Callithrix jacchus: one gene and its partner. The protein of the gene in region 2 interacts with the protein of the main gene of each other region in a biochemical or structural test. Links are inferred from orthologs where the notes say so. Each region holds a gene or a part of one and is shown on either strand. Other genes may lie near its edges.

Region 1 (9,647 bases), on a different chromosome or scaffold from region 2:
TTTGCTATTGAAAGACTCACTTCTTTTTCTTCCTTCCTTCCCCTCTCATCTCTTCCTTTTTCTCCCCTGTGGACACTCCCTCTGGCTATGCGTGCTAAGGTGATCTAATTATGCTCTTGCTTAAGAAATCCCAGAGACTAATCTTGAAACCAGGCACGGAGTCCCCTTTTTGGAATCCTGTTTAGGGCGAGTCACGAACAATTAGTCCATCACCATCAGGCCAAAATCAAGGTAACACCAGCCAGACCTCAGAACAGGCAATTAGCCCAATTAGCCAAGACAGCCATCAGAACAAGAAACACAGATACACAAATACTGCACCATGTACTGCTCCCACGTCTCCCATACCAAGTTTCCCTTTAAAAGCCCAATGGTAAGTATTAAAATTTAAGATGGTCCTTTAGAATGCTAGTTCACCTCTTATGTTTGGCTTTTTTTTTTTTTTTTTTTTTGAGATGGAGTCTTGCTCTGTTGCCCAGGCTGGAGCACAGTGGTGATCTCAGCTCACTGCAACCTCTGTCTCCTGGTTTCAAGCAATTCTCCTGCCTCGGCCTCCTGCGTAGCCGGGATTACAGGCACCCACCACCACACCCAGCTAAGTTTTGCATTTTTAGTAGAGATGGGGTTTCACCATGTTGGCCAGGCTGGTCTTGAACTCCTGATCTCAGGTGATCCACCACCTCAGCCTCCCAAAGTGCTGGGATTACAGGCGTGAGCCACTGCACCTGGTGGTGCTTGGTGTTTGAATGCAGAGTAGAGCAGACAAACCTGGCTCCAGTTACAGAAAGGCAGTAATCTATGAGGCACTTTGTAAACATACTCGCACCTCTAATGGTGATTGCAGTCCTGCCCCAGGTTCCTCCCCTTAATGTTAGAATAAGACTATAGCTTAGGAAATGTGCTAAAAATGCAGAGTCATAGGCACCATCCTTGAGACATGGCCCCAGTAAGTCAAGGTGGACCCTGGAGCCTGCATCTTTACCCAGATGCCCACAAGGAAGGTGTTGCTGATGGCCAGAGCCCACAGTCTGAGCCATGCTGGCTACTGTCAGTGACAAAAAGACTCCCCGGGCTTTTCCTAGTGTGTGGAACAGTGGTCATAGACTCTGTTCCATGTTTTGATCCTCAAATCCTGGAGAGGATTCCTGAGATTATGAACAGAAAAATTAGAGGGTGAGGACATATATCCCATGACAACAGGATTCTTTCCTTCCCTAAAGAATTTGCTAAGAGATGCTCTTATTTTTCAGAAACTTGCCTGTGTTTGCCATATTAAGCGTGCAAGGGAGCAGTCTGGCAGATGTTCAGGGGAGAGATAGAGAGCATTTAAGAGCTGTGGTGAACTGTGCATTGCTGAGCAATGAAGATGAAATGGGAATCAAGCTAAAGTTACAAACAGAATAGGATTTGACTTATACACTTGTCAAGAACACATTCATTTGTAATTGAAATAATAATGACAGTCTTGTCTAGACATGGTGGCTTATGCCTATAATCCCAGCACTTTGAGAAGCAAGGTAGGAGGAGTGCTTGAGCTCAGAGTTTGAGACCAACTTAGGTTAATATAGTAAGACCTCCTCTATCTCTACAAAAGTAAAAAAAAGAAAAATTAGCCAGGTATGGTGCATGCCTGTGGTCTTAGCTACTTGGGAGGCTGAGATGGAAGGATCACTTGAGCCCAGGAGGTCGAGGCTGCAGTGAGCCATGATTGTGCCACTGTACTCCAGCCTGGGTGACAAGAGTGATACCCCATCTCAAAATAATAAAAATAATAGGCCAGGCATGGTGGCTCACGCCAGTAATCCAAGCACATTGGAGGCCAAAACGGGCGGATCACCTGAGGTCGGGAATTCAATGTGGTGAAACCCCATCTTAAAAAAAAATAATAATAATAATAACAATAATAACAACAGTCTCATGAGCAAGTCCTTGTGCTAATTAGGCTTTATACATTAATTCACTTAAAAATACATTCACATGGCCGGGCATGGTGGCTTATGCCTGTAATCCCAGCACTTTGAGAGGCCAAGGCAGGCAGATTGCCTGAGGTCAGGAGTTTGAGACCAGCCTGGGCAACACGATGAAACCCTGTCTCTACTAACATGCAAAAAATTAGCCGGGCATGGCGGTGCGTGCTCATAATCCCACTACTCGGGAGGCTGAGGCAAGAGAATTGCAAGAATTCAGGAGGCGAAAGTTCCAATGAGCCAAGATTGAGCCACTGCACTCCAGCCTGAGTGACAGAGCGAGACTCCACCTCAAAATATATATATATATATATATATATATATATTCACATATAAATGTGCACATAACAAGTAAAAGCTATTAAGAGGCTGCATTTACAGGTGGTCACAGATCAGCCGAGCAATACAGCCTGTGGTTTAGCCTATGAGCTCTAGATAGCTTCTGATTCGAGTCCTGGCTCTGTCATTTATCAACCGTGTGACCTTCATAAGGAACATCTTCAGGCCTCAGTTTCCTCATCTGTTAAATGAGATGACACATGGAAAGCTCTTAGCACAGTCCTTGGCAGGTAGTAAAACAGCCTCTAAGTGTTTTTAGTGATTATTATTGTCGTTAGTGCTGCCAGAGCAGAGCATGGGTTCCTGCCCTGAAGCAGACTGAGTTGGGGCTGAAGCCACTTTGGACTTCACATGGCCACACGGAGATCCACAGGGATCAAGGAGCGCTGTCAGGCTGGCCTAGATACCGAAATGGTATCCTGAGATGACAGCAACCTGCCATCTTTTCTTTGTGTCCCTTTGATGAGTGGGACATCACCAGCACTGAGGCTGGATGACTCTCCCTACACAGATAGCATGTCCTGGAAACTGGGGAGACCTATAAAGTAAGTGTGAGTTTGCTAAGAATCAAATGAGGTAGTAGACATACCGTGCCTGGCACATGGCAAATAATCATTATTATGCATTATTATAATTATAATTTTATATAATTTGCTGTAGTGTCTCCAAAACACAACCTCACAAATAACAATTAGCATTAACTGAGCACCTACTCCAAGAGCTGTCCATTGGGTCTGGATGCTCAATACCTTTACCTTTTCCTGATGACAGCACTCCATTTTCCTTTGGGGAACTGCCTACCCCCATCCCATTGTTCTGGTGGGACTGCCAATCACAATCCTCTATTCCAATCCCTGACAGGTTTTTTAAAACTTGATCAGCCAGAGACCACCAGGAATGAGCCTACAGTCTGACGAAATCAGATTTCTTGTCTCCAAGCAGTGAGGTGGGGCACTCCGGAAGATCTCCAGAAGGAGGGCAGCTTTCTTGCAAGATGTGGGTTCCTGCCCAAGGATTCTAAAGAGGGTTGAAGGAAAGCAGGAATCAGTTCTGGATTGGATGCTGTTTTGGATAAGGGATTAAGAGGAGCAAGGATTAACCAGGGATTGAGCATTGTCATGAGGCCAGGGTGGCTGAGCAGTTGGTTATCCCCAGTATTAGATGAGAATAGCAAAGCATGCCTCTGCCTTTGTCCTCGGTCCTAGCAAAGAGAGCAGTGGCCACTTTCAGAGGGTCCTTATAGCATTTCACAGCCACTACATGACTTTGGGAGGAACAAGGTTTCTTGCAGGCTTTGTAGGTGGCTTTAACTTTTCTGTCCTCTTAACCTGCTGTTTCTTTTCCAGGACAAGTTGATTTTCACTTTCAGTCCCAGGTAGAGTTTTACTCTTTTTGCCCCAACTGTGACTTTGAACAAAGACATCTTTCCTCAAGACACTTTAGTGCTATTTACTAGAAAATTGTCACAATGAGTGTTCAAACCTCTGATGACTATGATGAGTAACCCCTGAAGTTTACAAAGCCTAATTGCAATTATAGGCAGCAGCCCTGCCCCATGTGCCCTGAGCTGGGGCAATCAGACATTGGGAACTAGGGCAGGAGACTCTCAGGTGGGAGGCAAAGGTTGGAGCAGGCTATCTAAGGAAGAGCCCCGAGAGAGGCTGGGCCACAAACAGTTGTCACTGAAATTCCTGTCACTGCCTGGGCTCTTCAGGGCCTCCCTGAGGATTGTTTAGCTCTTCTTTTGATTCTGGAGCGATCCCAATCATTTCCTAGTAATCCTTGTTAAACTGAGCTAGTCAGTTTCTATTGCTTACAACCCCAGAACCCTAAATAACATATCTGTTTTTGTAGGTCTTGTATTTGGTGCTGGGATAGAGAGGAATAACGTGCGGGCCCACTGGTGTACTCACTGTGTACCTATGATGTCAGGGAGTGATTACTCCCATGACAAAATAATTTTTCCCTTTCCAAAATAATTAACCCTTGGGCCCTTCCCTTTCTCTCCTGACCCCTCATTCTGTAAACTCTATGAATTCTCACTATATCTCCAGTGCCTGGCCCACAGTGAGCCCTCGACAGATTCAATGAATGAATGAATGAATGAATGAATGAATGATTGTTATCAACATCTCCATTTCTACAGATAAGAAAACTGAGCCTCAAAGAGACTCATGACTAAGCTATGCACATGCTATTAACAAGTGGTAAAGAAGAAATTCAAAACCAGGCCAGTCTGCATCTTCACTATACCACACATACTTCTCTTATTCATAATCAAGGTCCCAATGAAAGATTTTAATGTCAAAATGTCACCTACCAATTTGGTGACTCCTCAAAAAGTTAAATGTTGAATTACCATATAATTGGCCGGGCGCAGTGTCTCATGCCTGTAATCCTGGCACTTTGGGTGGCCGAGGTGGGCGAATCACGAGGTCAGAAGATCTAGACCATCCGGGCCAACATGGTGAAACCCATCTCTACTAAAATACAAAAAATTAGCTGGGTATGGTGGCACGTGGCTGTAGTCCCAGCTACTCAGGAGGTTGAGGCAGAGGAAACATTTGAACCTGGGAGGTGGAGGTTGCAGTGAGCCGAGGTTGCGCCACTGCACTCCAGCCTGGTGACAGAGCAAGACTCTATCCCAAAAACCAAAAATAAACAAACAAAAAAGAATTGCTATATAACCCAGCAATTCCACTCCTAAGTACCCCCCAAAAGAGTTTAAAGCAGCTACTCAAATAAGTACATGTACACACATGTTCATAGCAGCACTATTTGCAATAGCCTAAAGGTAGAAACAGCCCAAATCCCCGTCAATGGATGAATGGATAAATTGTATATATATCACACAAGAAAATATTATGCAGTCATAAAAAAGGAGTATTGATACATGATGTGGATGAACCTCAAAAGTACTTCAAGTAAAAGAAGTTAGACACAAAAGGTCACATATTTTATGATTCAAGTTATATAAAATATCCAAAATAGGTAGATCCATAGAGACAGAACACTGACTGGTGGTTACCAGGACAGGAGGGAGAGGGAATAGGGAGAAACTGCTTATTAGGTACAGAGCTTCCTTTTGGGGTAATGAAAGTATTTGAACTTTCCAAAGTGGTGGCTGTGCAATACCGTGAAAGTCCTAAATGCCCCCAACTAGTTCACGTTAAAATGGCTAATATTTTGGTCAGATGTGGCGGCTCACACCTATAATCTCAGCACTTTGGGAGGCCGAGACGGGTGGATTGATTGAGCCCAGGAGTTTGAGACCAGCCTGGGCAAAGATAGGGAGACCCTGTATCTACAAAAAAACTACAAACAAAAAAATAAAAATTTTTAAATGGCCTTATTTTAAAATTAATTGAAATTTTTTTTAATTTAAAATTTAAAAATTTTAACATCTCTATGTTACATGAATTTCACCTCAATAATACAAAAATCTTAAAGCCACTGAACTGTACATTTAAAATGGCTTAAATAGTACATTTGATGTTATGTATATTTTACATACACACAAAATTCACACTCCAGGAGCCACCCTGCCACTCAGAAACACCAAATGTTTCCCATGGCATTTCTCCTAGCCCTGGGAAACACAATAAGGACTCAATGAATGCTGGTATTTTTCATTCGTTTTTAGGCTGTGCTGGAGAGAAGCCCTCTCCTGGAGGCAGTATGGTCAAATGGCTGGGAGTACAGGCAGCTGAGTTCAAACCCCAGGTCAGCCACTTATCCACTTGGTGACCTTGGGTGATTTATAAACCTGTCTGTGCAAGTTTTCTCATCAAGAAAATTGGAAACACAGTGCCTACTTCACAGGTGAAGTGAAATGATAATGTGTGAAAGCACTTGGAACCATCCCTAAGACACAGAAAGTGTTCAGTATCAGCTGCTGGGATGAGGGTACAGTGGGTTCTGCTGCTCCCAACCCCTCCATTTTCACCAGTGTTTACCATAGTACCTCTCTGTAATACATTCTGTGCTTCAGGTAACTGTTTTTGGCAGGAAAGGAGCAGTTACCTTCAAAGCAAGCTGACTCCCCAAAGAGGAGTCTTCTTGTGATGAAATCCCAAGGAAACTCCAGAGACCCCCTCCTGGGTGTTTATGTCCATCAGCAGTAGGGAGCTCCCAGGAGATGAATTCTACACAGAATGATCAGTGGTTCCTGTGCCCTTTGGCAGCTTGTGAAGCTAAGCACATTTACCATGAGCTCTTCTTCTCAGTCATTTGCTAGGTGGGATGACACTGCTCCCCTCTGGGATTAGGACTTCCCCCATTTCCACCCAGGCTGTTTCTTGTGTTCGGTATGATATGGAAGAGACTTAGAGATGTGGGAAGCATCCCACACAGCTGATCAGCCAGGCACAGAGGTCCACCCACCTGCAGAAGGGTCACCAGGCTCGGAAACATCCTGTCCCCACCTGCAAATCTATCCATGCCTCTTGTTCATGCCCAGCCCACACATTTGATTTTTTTCTAAATTCATTGTTTTCAAAGTAATTAAAAGTCTCTTGCTTATTCTGAGAAAATAAGCTGCCATGTTGTGAGATGTTCTGCGGAGAGGCCTCTGTGGCAAGGACCAAGGGAAGCCTCCAGCAGACAGCTCATGAGAAACTGAATCCTACCAATAAACATGTGAGTGAGCCAGTGTTCTGCAAAAGGGCCAGATATGCAGAGAGACCCCCAAATACCAAAGAAGCCAAGAAACCAAAGGAGGCTGACAAATCCAGCTTGGTGGTGAAGGATAATCTGCTGAGGTAACTTACAGACAGAAGCGTGGTCTTGGGTGGCCACAAGACAGGTAGATCTGTTACTCCCAGACCTAAGGATTATATACAATGGGGAAATAGTAAATATGCTGTCAAGACAATTAAAGGCAGCCCTCCAGAACAGTCAAGAATGCTGTGTGTGTTCCAGCCTATAATGTGTGCAATAACATCAAGGTTGCTTTTTTTCTTATACTAGGAACAACAAATAAAGCAGAAACCAGGAGACAAAATTGGCTGGGTGTGGTGGCACGCGCCTGTAATCCCAGCTACTTGGGAGCCTGAGGCAGGAGAATTGCTTGAACCCAGGAGATAGATGGAAGTTGCAATGAGCTGAGATCACACCCCCGCACTCCAGCCTGGGCAATAAGAGCAAAACTCCGTTGTTTTTTCTTTTTTTTTAAAAAAAGACCTAGATAGGGGCCAGGTGTGACAGCTCAATCCTGTAATCCCAGTATTTTGGGAGGCTGAAGCAGGAAGACTGAGGCAGGAGGATCGCTTGAAACCAGGAGACCAGCCTGGGCAACAAAGTAAGATCCTGTCTCTGCAAAAAATAAAAAAATAAATAAAAAAGCCGGGGGAGGGGGTGGGTTGTGGGCGGGGAAGACCCAGCTAAACTGCACCTAGATTCCTAACCTGCAGCGACTTTAAGATGATGTTGTTTTAAGGCACTAAATTTTAGAATAATTTGTCATGCAGTGAAGAATGACTAATATAGGTTGAGGGTCAGTTTTACATGTTAACTTGTCTAGGATACAGTCCTCAGTTATTCAATCAAACAGTAATTTAGTTGTTGCTGTGAAGGTTATTTTGTAGATATGATTAAAGTCTATAGTCAGCTAACTTTAGGAAATAGAGGCCGAGCATGGGGGATCACACCTGTAATCCCAGCACTCTGAGAGGCCAAGACAGGTGGATTGCTGGAGTCCAGGGGTTCAACACCAGCCTGGGCAACATGGTGAAACTCTGTCTCTAGAAAAAATACAAAAAATTAGCAGGGCATGGTGGCACATGCCTGTGGTCCCAGCTACTTGGGAGGCTGAGGTGGGAGGACTGCTTGAACCCAGGAGGTAAAGGTTGCAGTGTGCCAAGATCATGACACTGTGCTCCAGCCTGGGTGACAGAGTGAGACTCTATCTCAAAAAAATAAAGGGAAGGGGAAGGGGAAAGGGAAGGGGAAGAGGAAAAGGAAGGGGAGGGGAAGAGGAAGGGGAAGGGGAGAGGGAGGGGGAAGGGAAGGGAAAGGGAAAGGGAAGGGAAGGGAAAAGGAAGGGAAGTGAAAAGGGAAAAGAAAGGGAAGGGAAAAAGGGAAAGGAAAAGGGAAAGGGAAGGGAAAAGGAAGGGAAAGGAAAGGGAAGGGAAATAAGGAAGGAAAGGAGGGAGGGAAATAAGAGATTGTCGAAAATAATCTATGTGGGCCTGATTCAATCAGTTGAAAGGCCTTAGAAGAGAAGGGCTGAAGTTTCCCAGAAGAAGAAATTCTTCCTGTGGACAGCAGCTTCAGTTCATGCCCAAGAATTCCCACTTGCCTTCATCACAGCCTGACCTATGGACTTCAAGAACTGCCTTGCCAACTCCCACAATAATGTCAGCCAATTCCTTGTAATAAAATGTCTCTCTTTCTCTCTCTCTCTATAGGATAATTAAAATCGTTTAATATATATAATTCATCACAGAGAATAAAGAAACCAAAACAGTATCAAAAGGATATGCCATAAAAAGGAAGACTCCCTCCACTTGCTGCCTTTTAGCTCCCTTCCCCCAAGGAGATCAATGAGACCTGTTTAACATTCTTCTAGAAACAGTCAATGCATGCAGGAACATATATTTAGTCTTACCTCCTGAGCCTCATGTTTTAGCAGACATGTTATACACAGAGTTCTGTATCTTGCTTTTTAAAATTTATCTAACTATTGTGGTCGTCCTCCTATCAGTTTATGGAACTGGCTCCTTTTTAGTAGCTGTATTGCATTCCATTTTACAGATGTGCAAAACTATTCAATCAGTCCCTGATTGACAGATATTTAGGTTGTTCCAATCTTTTTCTTTAACAAGCCGGGATACCATGGATGCCCTTCCAGAAGGACAAAGGACTTAGATTTCTTTCTGTTGGGTATGGGACTTTCCTTCCCTTTCCCTCTCACTTTCCCCATGGAGAGGGAATATATTGCCTATATACGCAGGGTACATCCTGTATTTTGTCCACCTTGACTTTGTCAGGACTCCTTGAATGTCCTGTGTTCAGCTTTTTTCTTTTTTTGAGACAGAGTCTCGTTGTGTCGCCCAGGCTAGAGTACAGTGGTATGATCTCGGCTCACTGCAACCTCCGCCCCATCGGTTGAAGTGATTCTCCTGCCTCAGCCTCCCGAGTAGCTGGAATTATAGGTGCGCACCACTACTACCCGGCTAATTTTTGAATTTTTAGTAAAGATGGGGTTTCACCGTGTTGGCCAGGCTGATCTTGAACTCCTGACCTCAGGTGATCTGCCCACCTAGGCCTTTCAAAAAGCTGGGATTAAAGGTGTGAGCCATCGGAGCTGCTTTTCCTCCACAGTAATTGGCACCTAAATTA
Region 2 (10,298 bases):
CATCTTTAGAAAACACATTGCCATTGCAAATAAGAAGTCTAGAGTTTAATTCTGAATGGTGGTATATACTGTGTATCTATGACTCTAAAAGATCATTGATTTTTAAGACAAACCATCGATAATTGTGCACATCAACTTTAAGATGTGTCCCAATTTCAGAAACGTTAAAAAGTTTTAAAATGTACATTTAGATTGAAGAAAATATGGTAATTACAAAAAGAGTATCTATAAAAGTACTATTTCACTCTCATGTGGAAAACAAACTTAGATGAGCCCATATAATAAAAGTTCAAACTGGAATACAGTAAAATTAATCTTTCAACTAAGAAAAAGGTAGAGTCTAAAACCAAAAACTATACCTTGAACAGTATCATATTGAGTGTCTAAAAATAAAATCACCATGCCTATTCTCAACAAAGTTAATTTAGAATAAATATGATTTAAAATTCACATTTACAGATGTGTCAACCCATAAAAAGAGCAGCAGAATAAATTCAATGAAGATCTCAAAATAGATGTTTTATTGAACTGACTAGTCAATTTAATCAAAATCATCTAAATCTGTCACTGCAAATATGGTCCAACCACATACTTGCAAATATAACAAGAGTGATATAGATATATCAAGAGAACAGGCTGTGATAAGAGCATGACAATTTTTTAAGAAACAAATTCTTGCCAAAGGAAAGCAAAAATGCATCAAAGATGTAACTGTAATCTTTCCTCTTAACTCCGAGACAGAAATTAAATTCTACTACTGTTTAAATACTTAAATGTTTTCTGTATATCACTATTCTGTAATATCACAAATGTGAGATTTTTCAAGAAATCATATTTCTAAACCAGCTTATTGATTCTACAATTACCATATTATAGCAATTATTAATTCTACAATTACAGTATATTTCATATTGTAACTGAGCACCTACATGCAAGCACTTGTCCTAAGTCACTACAAAATGCATTTAATTACAGTATTTCTAGTTTAACAATAGCATTAAGGTCTTGAAGGTTAACATATACCTCATTTTTCCAAAGTTTGTTCCAAATAGACTTGAAAAATATCATTATAGACTTTAAGTCTATTAGTGACAGCATTTGTGAGAGCTTACTATGTGCCAAATAAGTGCTTTATCATATTTAGTCCTCACAAGAAACTTGTGAAGAGTGTACCATTATCATCTTCCTTCTAAGAAAGAAGAAATTGAGGCTCAGAGCTGTAATCATACATCAGGATCGCAGAGGCTAGGCACAGTGGCTCACGCCTGTAATTCCAACACTTTGAGAGATCACTTGCAACCACGAGTTCAAGGCCAGCCTGGGCAACATAGTGAGACTCTCATCCCAACAAAATATACATTAAAACTTTAGCCTGGTGTGGTGACATACCCCTGTAATCCCAGCTACTTGGGAGACTGCGGCAACAGGACTAAGTGATCCCAGGAGTTGGAGATAATATACTGCACTGCAGCCTGGGAGACAGAGCAAGACTCTGCCTCAAAAGTGCCACATCGCTGTAATCCCAGCTACTTGGGAGGCTGATGCAGGACTGAATGAGCCCAAGAATTGGAGATCATACCACTGCACTCTAGCCTGGGTGGCAGAGCAAGACTCTGCCTCAAAAAAAAAAATCAAGAAAAAGAAAGAGGAAAAGACCACAGAGCTACAGCTACTAAATGCTAGAACCTAGATTCAAACGTAGATCCTGTCTCTAGAGTTCAAGCTCTTCAATGCTACTCATTAAATGACACTATTTGCGAAAGACTTTTCATCTAAATAAAAATGATCATCAACAAAAAGTATGAAATAAAAGTTATTTTGAAACTACCTCTAACTTTTAATCTTCTGAACACACTAGTACCAAGATCCTAATATTCATGAATCCAATTCCTATAATAAGCTCAGGGTTCCAAGGCAATCAGTAAATAAATATTGTGACCATACTCTGCTAGGCACTACGGATATGACAGTGAACCTAAAAGATGGGGAGTCCTCTGCCCTCATAATTCCCAAGTTTTTTCCTAAGTGCTTAGAATTTAAGCAGAAATGGGAAAGAACTAATAACTTCACTGTCAACTGAATTGGAGGAAGAGAGAGGGGAGAATATTATTTTTTTTAATTAAAACATTAGTAGTGGTCCAGGTGTGATGGCTCACGCCTGTAATCCTAGCACTTTGAAAGGCTGAAGCAGGTGGATCACCTGAGGTCAGTAATTCAAGACCAGCCTAGCCAACATGGCAAAACCCCATCTCTACCAAAAATACAAAAATTAGCCAGGCATGGTGGTGCACGCCTGTAATCCCAACTACTGAGGAGGCTGAGGAAGGAGAATCACTTGAACGTGGGAGGTGGAGGTGGCAGTAAGCCAAGATCGTGTCACTCCACTCCAGCCGGCACGACAGGAGTGAGTCTCCGTCTCAAAAAAAAACAGTAGTGAAGCCACATTTTTATATTTAAAATAAATAGTAAATTATTATATCACTTCATACACTGTCACCCAAAAACCAACTGAAGATCTTTCTAGAGAAAGATCATGAACCACAATTTGAAAATCACAGATTAACAAGAATTTGCAAACAGAGGGATTCTTTCAGCCAGGAAGCAACAACTCAAAAGAGACTTCTTACTTTGATCAACGTAATACAACCACTTTCTATTTACTGCCAATCAGGCACTGTTCTAGGCTCTGCACATACATTATCTCTAAACTAGGTCTTAGATCTGACGTATTTTTTTGACAATGCAAAAAAAAAAACCTTCTATATGTTTCCCTCATGAAATCTATCATTAGGTTTGCATAATCTATACTTTCTACAGATAACTGTAGTACAATGAAGACCCACATACTTGAAAAACTCTTAAGCAGTACATCTTTCATAAGCAGAATTTGGTCTTTGACTTATCACCCAAGAAATATGATTCTGAGGTATTTTATAGTGGTGCTCCCAGGTAGGGGAAAAGGCAGAGCCTCTCCAAAACAGGTGACTTTGCTAACTAGCAGTCATAGAACAAAGCATAGGCCCAGCAGAACCCTATTCCCCACAGACCTGGCCAACCAGTCCTTACCCTTTTCTGACAGACTAAAGACGCTCAGGACTGAATTAGATTTTCCTAAACTACATGTAATTACGATCTGTACCTGAACATCTACCCACCCACATCAACCTCCTCCTTTCATCTAAATGTCCTATTTTCTCTATTCCCCACCTTTTTTATCCATCCTAACCCCACCCTCCATTTCCCAGGTCACCTCTAAGCAGCTTATTTGTGTTGTGGTCAGGCAATACAAGAGTCAGGTAGCTGAGTCCCTCGTACTTGCGGTGTGATGGCAAAACAAACTGAGCCCTCTTCCCTACCCTAGCATGTTCTAGCATACAGGACTAAAAGTTTAAATTCAGGGCTTTCACACAGCTCCTTCGATAGAGGTCAGGGATCAGCAATACACTCCCAGGAAAGGGAAACAGAATACTCTAGTACCTTTAAATAACCTTTCACCATCCCTCCAACATCTCTCACCAAGGAATCTGAGAAGGTTCTTTCCAACCCTATTGATTGGCTAAGCCAAAGGGAAACAAGGTCTACTAAACTATAATAATGCTTTATTTTATTTTATTTTATTTTTTGAAGCAGAGTCTCGCCGTATCGCTAGGCTACAGTACAGTGGTACAATCCCGGCTCACTGAAACTTCTGTTTTCTGGTTTCAAGCAATTCTCCTGCCTCAGCCTTCCAGGTAGCTAGGACTACAGGTGCACGCCATCAGGCCCAGCTAATTTTTTTGTATTGTTTTAGTGGAGAGGGGGTTTCACCATGTTGGCCATGATGGTCTCAATCTATTGACCTCTTGATCCACCCACCTCAGCCTCCTAAAGTGCTGGGATTACAGGCTTGAGCCACTGCACCTGGCCCAATAATGTTTTTTTTTTTTATCTTTGAGAAAGGAGTTCCCCTTAATCCACATCATACAATAACATATAAAGCTGTAATTCAACATTCTGACATTCCACTATGCCTAAAAGTTAGACTACTTTTATTTGTACTTCCTATTCGATCAATATAAAACATACAATAACAAAGCAAGAACATAAAATCACAGAATCAGGAAAGACACTATATTTATCTTTCAAATTATTTTCCAAGAGATATTCTATAATGTAACAATATCAAAACAGATTCCCTTTAAGTCCAATGACATGTCAATTATCTTAAGAGACTGATGTACCAACAGAAAATCATTCAAATACCTACTTTCCAGATCCATCTATTCCTCTAGAGAAAGAGAAACTGTGTATCAAGACAGACCCACTGACTAATGTAATGAAACCAAGATGCACTTGTTGCTAATGTCAGCATTTCTGACTTTACCAACTGAGAGTAGTGGAAAATAAACTATCATTCACTCAATAACTACTTCAATAGATTCTTAATCTCTATTCTGTGTTACTGAACAGGAAAAAAAAATTTATGGTCAAGTAACTGTAAATGAAACCACTGCAATTTTACATGCACATCCTGTATATGCTTCCTTAATGATACACAAAAACACAAACATACTATGGATATGTATTTTATGAATCTGCCATGCCATTTAACTGACTTTAAATACTTAAGTTCCCTATGGTTAAAACCATGTAAAAAAGATCGTCTGTAAGGGGAAAGAAAAATCCATGAAGTTCATGGCTTAAATATCCCGGAAAAAATGATTAAATGCAAAAGAAAAGTAGAACTTAAGATGATAAACTGATACCAAAAATAAAAAGGTTACAATAACTGAGGTACCTTTTAGCACTAGTTGACAACTTAGCAGCGGTTTTGCTGGATATTTTTCCCTCCTTTTTCTTGGGCTGAACTTGTTCTCTTTCTGGTTCTTGCTGAACACTTTCACGTTGATCTCCATCGGAACTTCCTCCACTAGTGCTTGGACTGTCATCAACTCTTTGTGCCTCAGTGGACATTTTAGATCCTAGATTAAAGAATCAAAAATCATTTATTCCGCTGTGAGGAGAATTACAGTACGCTACTTCCATGACACACAGAATGAGCCTCAAAGAAAACAAGTAAATCTCAATATAAAATGGATAAATTGGTCATTTACAAAACAATGCAGTTTTGAGAGTTGCTATAACTTTTCTTTCATCCATTCAAAGTATATTGTAAAATGAAAGCATACAAAATTTATACATGAAATGTTCACAGCGACATTATTCATAATAACCAAAATTGGAAACAACTCAAATATCCACTAAGGGATGAATGGATAAACAAAATGTAGTAGTATATCCACATAATGTACTATTAGCCATAAAAAAGAATGAAGTACAGTGTCTACGTGCTACAAAATGGATGAACCTTGAAACATTATCGTAAGTGAAAGAAGCCAGCCACAAAGGACCACAAACTGTTTGACTATTTATATGAAACGTCCAGACTAGGCAAATCCATAAACACAAAATTCAGTAAGCAGATCTCATGCCTGTAATCCCCAATGCTTTGGGAAGCCCAGGCAGGAACAGCCTGGGCAACATAGTGGGACTCAATCTCTACCAAAAAAAAAAAAAAAAGATTACTATCACTGCATTCCAGCCTGAGTGACAGAGTAATACCCTGTATCAAAGGAAACAAAATTAATAAAAAAAATAAAGAGGGTAAGTGGTTGCCAGGGAGTGAGGGGAGGGAGAGTAGTGAGGATTGACTGCTAATGGGTATGATACTTCCCTTTGGGGTGATATAAATGTTCTTAAATTAGATAATGGTAACATTGCATGATTCTAATTGTAAATATTCTAAGAACTACAGAGTTTTACATTTTTAAAGGGTAAATTTTATGGTATATGAATTACATATAATAATGCTGTTATAAAAAATAGGAAAAAAATGATTAAGGGTCTACTCTCTACCTGGTGCTGTGCTAAGCCCTTTGGTCCTACAACTATGAAAAACCTGGCCCAGTCAACTTGCTAAGTACTAAAACGAAGGTTTGTACAAAAAGCTGTGGGAACAGAAAAATGGGTGGACACTTAAAAATCCCTATTCAAATCAGTACATCCTCAGCACTGGGTTATGGTTAAAATTCTCCAAACTAGTAAATTATTTTAAGTGACCTTTGCAATAACAGATGAACACAAAGGTCTACATGACTGCATGATTCTAAATAAAAACTGAACCGTATGATGGTGTCAGCATTGATTCAGCTGTATACTAAAGCAACCATTTTTCATAAGAGATGGAGACGCTGAAGAATTTTTTTTTTCACAGTCCGGTTAAAATATTCCTCAAGGCTTTCAAATTCCCTCTCCTCTGAGTTCATGCTCCCCGAGCAGCTCTGATTACCAACTCAATTTCCGAAATACCTTGATATTTAGGTAGCTGTTATAACCTAGACAGCAGACACAATTCCTGTAAGTGAAAAGGAATATCTCTTCTCAACTGCCATTCTATCATAATCAATTTCTGAGTTTGATTACTATGAATACATCCCTTATGAGCTAACTAGCTTAGAGTATTCTGACAAATCCAGAACGGAACCAACAAAACCTATGTCCAGACTCTAAAAGGCCTTGTGCTTACCACGGTTTATCACCTAATAATCACTTTGAGCACTGTATAGCTACCTTCTCAGACACCTCTTTGAAAACAAAACTACCTATGCTTAACAAGTACCATTAACACAAAATACACCTTTAAAAATTATAGGTACACTGAACAAATTCCTTTTGAAATGGATTCTTTTGATTAATCAAATTAGAAGTTCAAATAAAACTGTTTCTGATATGATCAAGAATAAGAATACATAAAAATACTTCAAATAAAGCAAAAATTTTAATTACTATAATTTAGTCCAAATAGATAGCTATTTGACACTAATTAAAATTCATCATTAACAAAGATTTAACTTGTAGCTTGCTCTAAGCAAAAGCAATGTTGTAACATGGATCTTTAATGGATTGAAATTTTTATAAGACAAATCAGAAAGCAATGAAAAGAATGGAAGCATCAGGAAGCATAGAGAGGCAAAGAGTCAAAAGAAAACAGTGAATGCTTTCACTGACACACCACATACACCACCACCAGCACCCCTTCAACTACAACAGCTCCCCATGCCAAACAAAAACAGGTCTGCCCCAACAGTTCTGAAACACACTAACGGAAAAGCTGACTACTTTTCTACCTATTCTGTAAATGAAGAGCATCAGTCTCTACAGCTGTGACATCTTTTATGAGCACTAAAGTCACTTAATAGAATGCTGAAATTTTATATCAGTATGTTTCACCGCTAGCTCTAAAAATCGTAACATATTTCTTGCTTTTTTTCAGTTTTATTTCACTCTAAATTCTTATTCTTGGATTTAACATTGTTTTTCTTTCACCTTACTTCTTTCAGTTAAATTTTATCAGATGTTTGAAACCTTGAAAGTATGTACATAATAGCATATCAGATAGGGTGGCATGCATGGGAGTGAAAAAGAGAACAATACTCAGGGAAAGGTGCTCAGATACAGCAAAATGCTGCCAGCAATACCTTAAGAATTGTGAAATGAGACATCATTTTATACATTTTAAACCACAAGCAATCCATTACATGACAAATATATGGGAACCTCAATGAAATAATATTCTCTACACTGAGGCTGCAGCTTCAGTTTAATAAAGTAAGATTTAATAAACTATGCTGAGAGTTTCAGTTGTGTATCACATTAGTTATAAAGCCACACATTCTTCTTAATATTCTTATTTATGTGCATTTACATACTATCAAATAATGCCATAGTTACATAATTCCTTATAAAGATTACTCAATGATACGATCTGAGCCATAATGTGAAACCCAAATTTCATAAACTACTGCCAAATATCAAAGGAAGCCTGAAGTAAAAATTAGTCTCACTAGAGAACTAATAAAAATACTATTAAAAATGCCCCAAAAGAGGCATAATTTCTAGTTTTACATTAAGGAAAAGAATTATTTCCACTTTTGACTTAAGATATCTTATTTCATCCAAATGTTAACCTACAAATGATGAATCCATCTCAGGCCACTGATAACCACTATGGGAACTTTTAGAAATAGTTTTCACATCTCTTTTTCAAATATTACTAATAAAAGGAATTTCTCCTGGGTTTGTTTTTTGAGTACTTGATTACAGAAAAAGTATAGAAAAAAATTGTTGTACCACTCAGGTGAAACAAATTTTCATGAAGAAAAAGTAGTCTATAAATCATTTTAATTAGTCATAAGTGTAAAATTGATGTCTCTCTAAAGTACAAATGAATAAAAATTCCTAACTTAAAGTTCTTTAAACATTATCTTCTAAATTAGCATTTTAAAATAAACTCCTAACAGCTAATCTGAGCCGATTATCTAATCTACAGGGAAGATAAACTTAAATCCCAGGGGTAGAAACAAAGAGTTACTCTCCAATGATAGTTTCAAAGATACTGAGATATATAAATTAATATGCTTATTTCATAACTCAAAGTAAAACTTGATTTTTAAACATAAAATAGTAAGGTAGTCCTTCCTAAAACTATTTTAAGAGACTTACTTTCTGTTCCTTCTTCAACACAAACTAAACCTGTATTAGCTATGTACTCTATGTTGTAATTACAGTCCTGGAAATTAGCAACATACAGTGAATGAAACTCACATGTTCCATAAAAATGAAATGATTTGGCTTGAAGTATCACTGACTACATAAAGCCAACTACAGTCATTCCATAAATTCAGACTACCATCCAGATAAGCCTTATAACAGTATCTACTAGTACGAAACTGCAAAACAAGGGTTCACTTGAGCTTTTATAACAGGAAAGCGTTTAATTCTGTCATATATATCTTGTCTTCCTACTCACGTTTCTAAACTTTTCAAAAATATAAAACAAAATAGTACACAGTATATGCACACAGCAATATCCAGCTTTAAATTTAACTGCAAAGACATTTATGCAGAACATAACAGTGGAACACCTGATTTGAGGTTAAAAGGTGCAGCAGGAGAGAGAGAATGGGGTATGACATTACATGAAAACACTCCATTTTAAGCAACAGCCTACATACAGAACTCCAAAGAGCCAAGGTGCATTCAAATTGTCGTAGTAAAGGCAAATATTTAGATTCACAAAGTCTTGACTGAATTATCACATATCTAGAAACACACTTTTTAAAGAATCAGGGATTAAATACTAAGAAGAGCGTAAAATCTTTCTGAACCGCGAGACAATCTGAGGGTAAACCCTAGCACTTCCTTTCGTACTTTTAAATAAAAATATTTGAATAGACTCTCAAGAACACACAATACAAAACGACGAGTCTTGGAAACATGCAAATGGGTCTAACAGCCACCGAGCACAGGATGATGTCTTTCTAAAGCGACCTTAATTTCCTTAACGGAAGATGGATTGGACATTTCTGGTTGGTCGTGGGAAAAAAAAGCCACAAGAAGCCACGCTTTATCTTCATTAGAAATGGTAAAGGGCAAAAGGATCAAAACATTACCAGAGAGAGGAGAGAAGAGAGGGGGAGAAGTGGGTGGAGGAGGGAGAAGGGGAAGAGGACAGAGGGAATCCAGTTTCAAACCAGGCCAGCGGAGCTGCAGAGAAGAGACCAGAGAAAAATGGGCTTCGGTTCCAAACTGTGACAAGCGCCAGGCATCACAAAAGACCAATACAACACACACCCCACACCAGGACACACACAAATATACCCCACAAGGTCTTCTCCGGGCGGGCCACCGGGGTGCGGCGGCGGAGCCGCCAGACCCGGCACTCGCCAGGAGAGACACCATGTGCAGCAATTATGCAATTAGGGAAAATAGCAAAAGATCAAGCCGGGCACTTTCCACCGTGACATTTATCCTGTACTTTTGCAAAGACTTAGTTCCAGGATGCGGCCAGGAGAAGGAAGGCGCTGGGAGGGTGGGGAAGGATGGGGAACTGAGAACGGAAGGGGGTAGAAGGAGGACAGGGAGTGAAGAGGCAGAAGGGGGGGGGATGGGAAAGAGGGGGAGGGGTAGAAAGGGCGAGAAACGGGGGCAGGAGGCTCGCGGGAGGGGGCGCAGAGAACCGGGCACGGGGAGCGAGGAAGGAGGGAACTAGGACGCCAGTGGTGTAAGCAGAGACCTGCGGCGCGGAGGGGAGGTCGGGGAAGTGGGGAGGACGCCCGCGAGAGGGAGGACGCCCGAGGAGGGGAGGCACCGGCGCGGCCCGAGCGAATACCTGAGGGGGGTGTCCGCGCAGGTCGCGGGCTCAAGCCGAAGCCCGGGGAGAGAGCTGCTGAGGCGCGAGCGGGGGGAGCCTAGGGAGG

Evidence for each region.
Region 1: the proteins of UBE2E2 (region 2) and RNF14 form a complex in vitro, tested with the Homo sapiens proteins (2 studies listed by BioGRID). The link is inferred for Callithrix jacchus from reciprocal best matches to the Homo sapiens genes UBE2E2 and RNF14.

What each region holds. Positions count from the first base shown.
Region 1 is NC_133503.1:40,474,116-40,483,762, reverse strand, and holds the end of RNF14 (E3 ubiquitin-protein ligase RNF14), read right to left. Parts: intron 7,132-9,647; coding exon of another isoform or gene 7,120-7,131; exon of another isoform or gene 5,659-7,119; intron 4,790-5,658; exon of another isoform or gene 4,666-4,789; intron 3,324-4,665; coding exon 3,210-3,323; 3' UTR 2,935-3,209; downstream 1-2,934. UniProt on the Homo sapiens protein: E3 ubiquitin-protein ligase that plays a key role in the RNF14-RNF25 translation quality control pathway, a pathway that takes place when a ribosome has stalled during translation, and which promotes ubiquitination and degradation of translation factors on stalled ribosomes.
Region 2 is NC_133518.1:61,541,930-61,552,227, reverse strand, and holds part of UBE2E2 (ubiquitin-conjugating enzyme E2 E2), read right to left. Parts: intron 4,962-10,298; 5' UTR 4,954-4,961; coding exon 4,778-4,953; intron 1-4,777.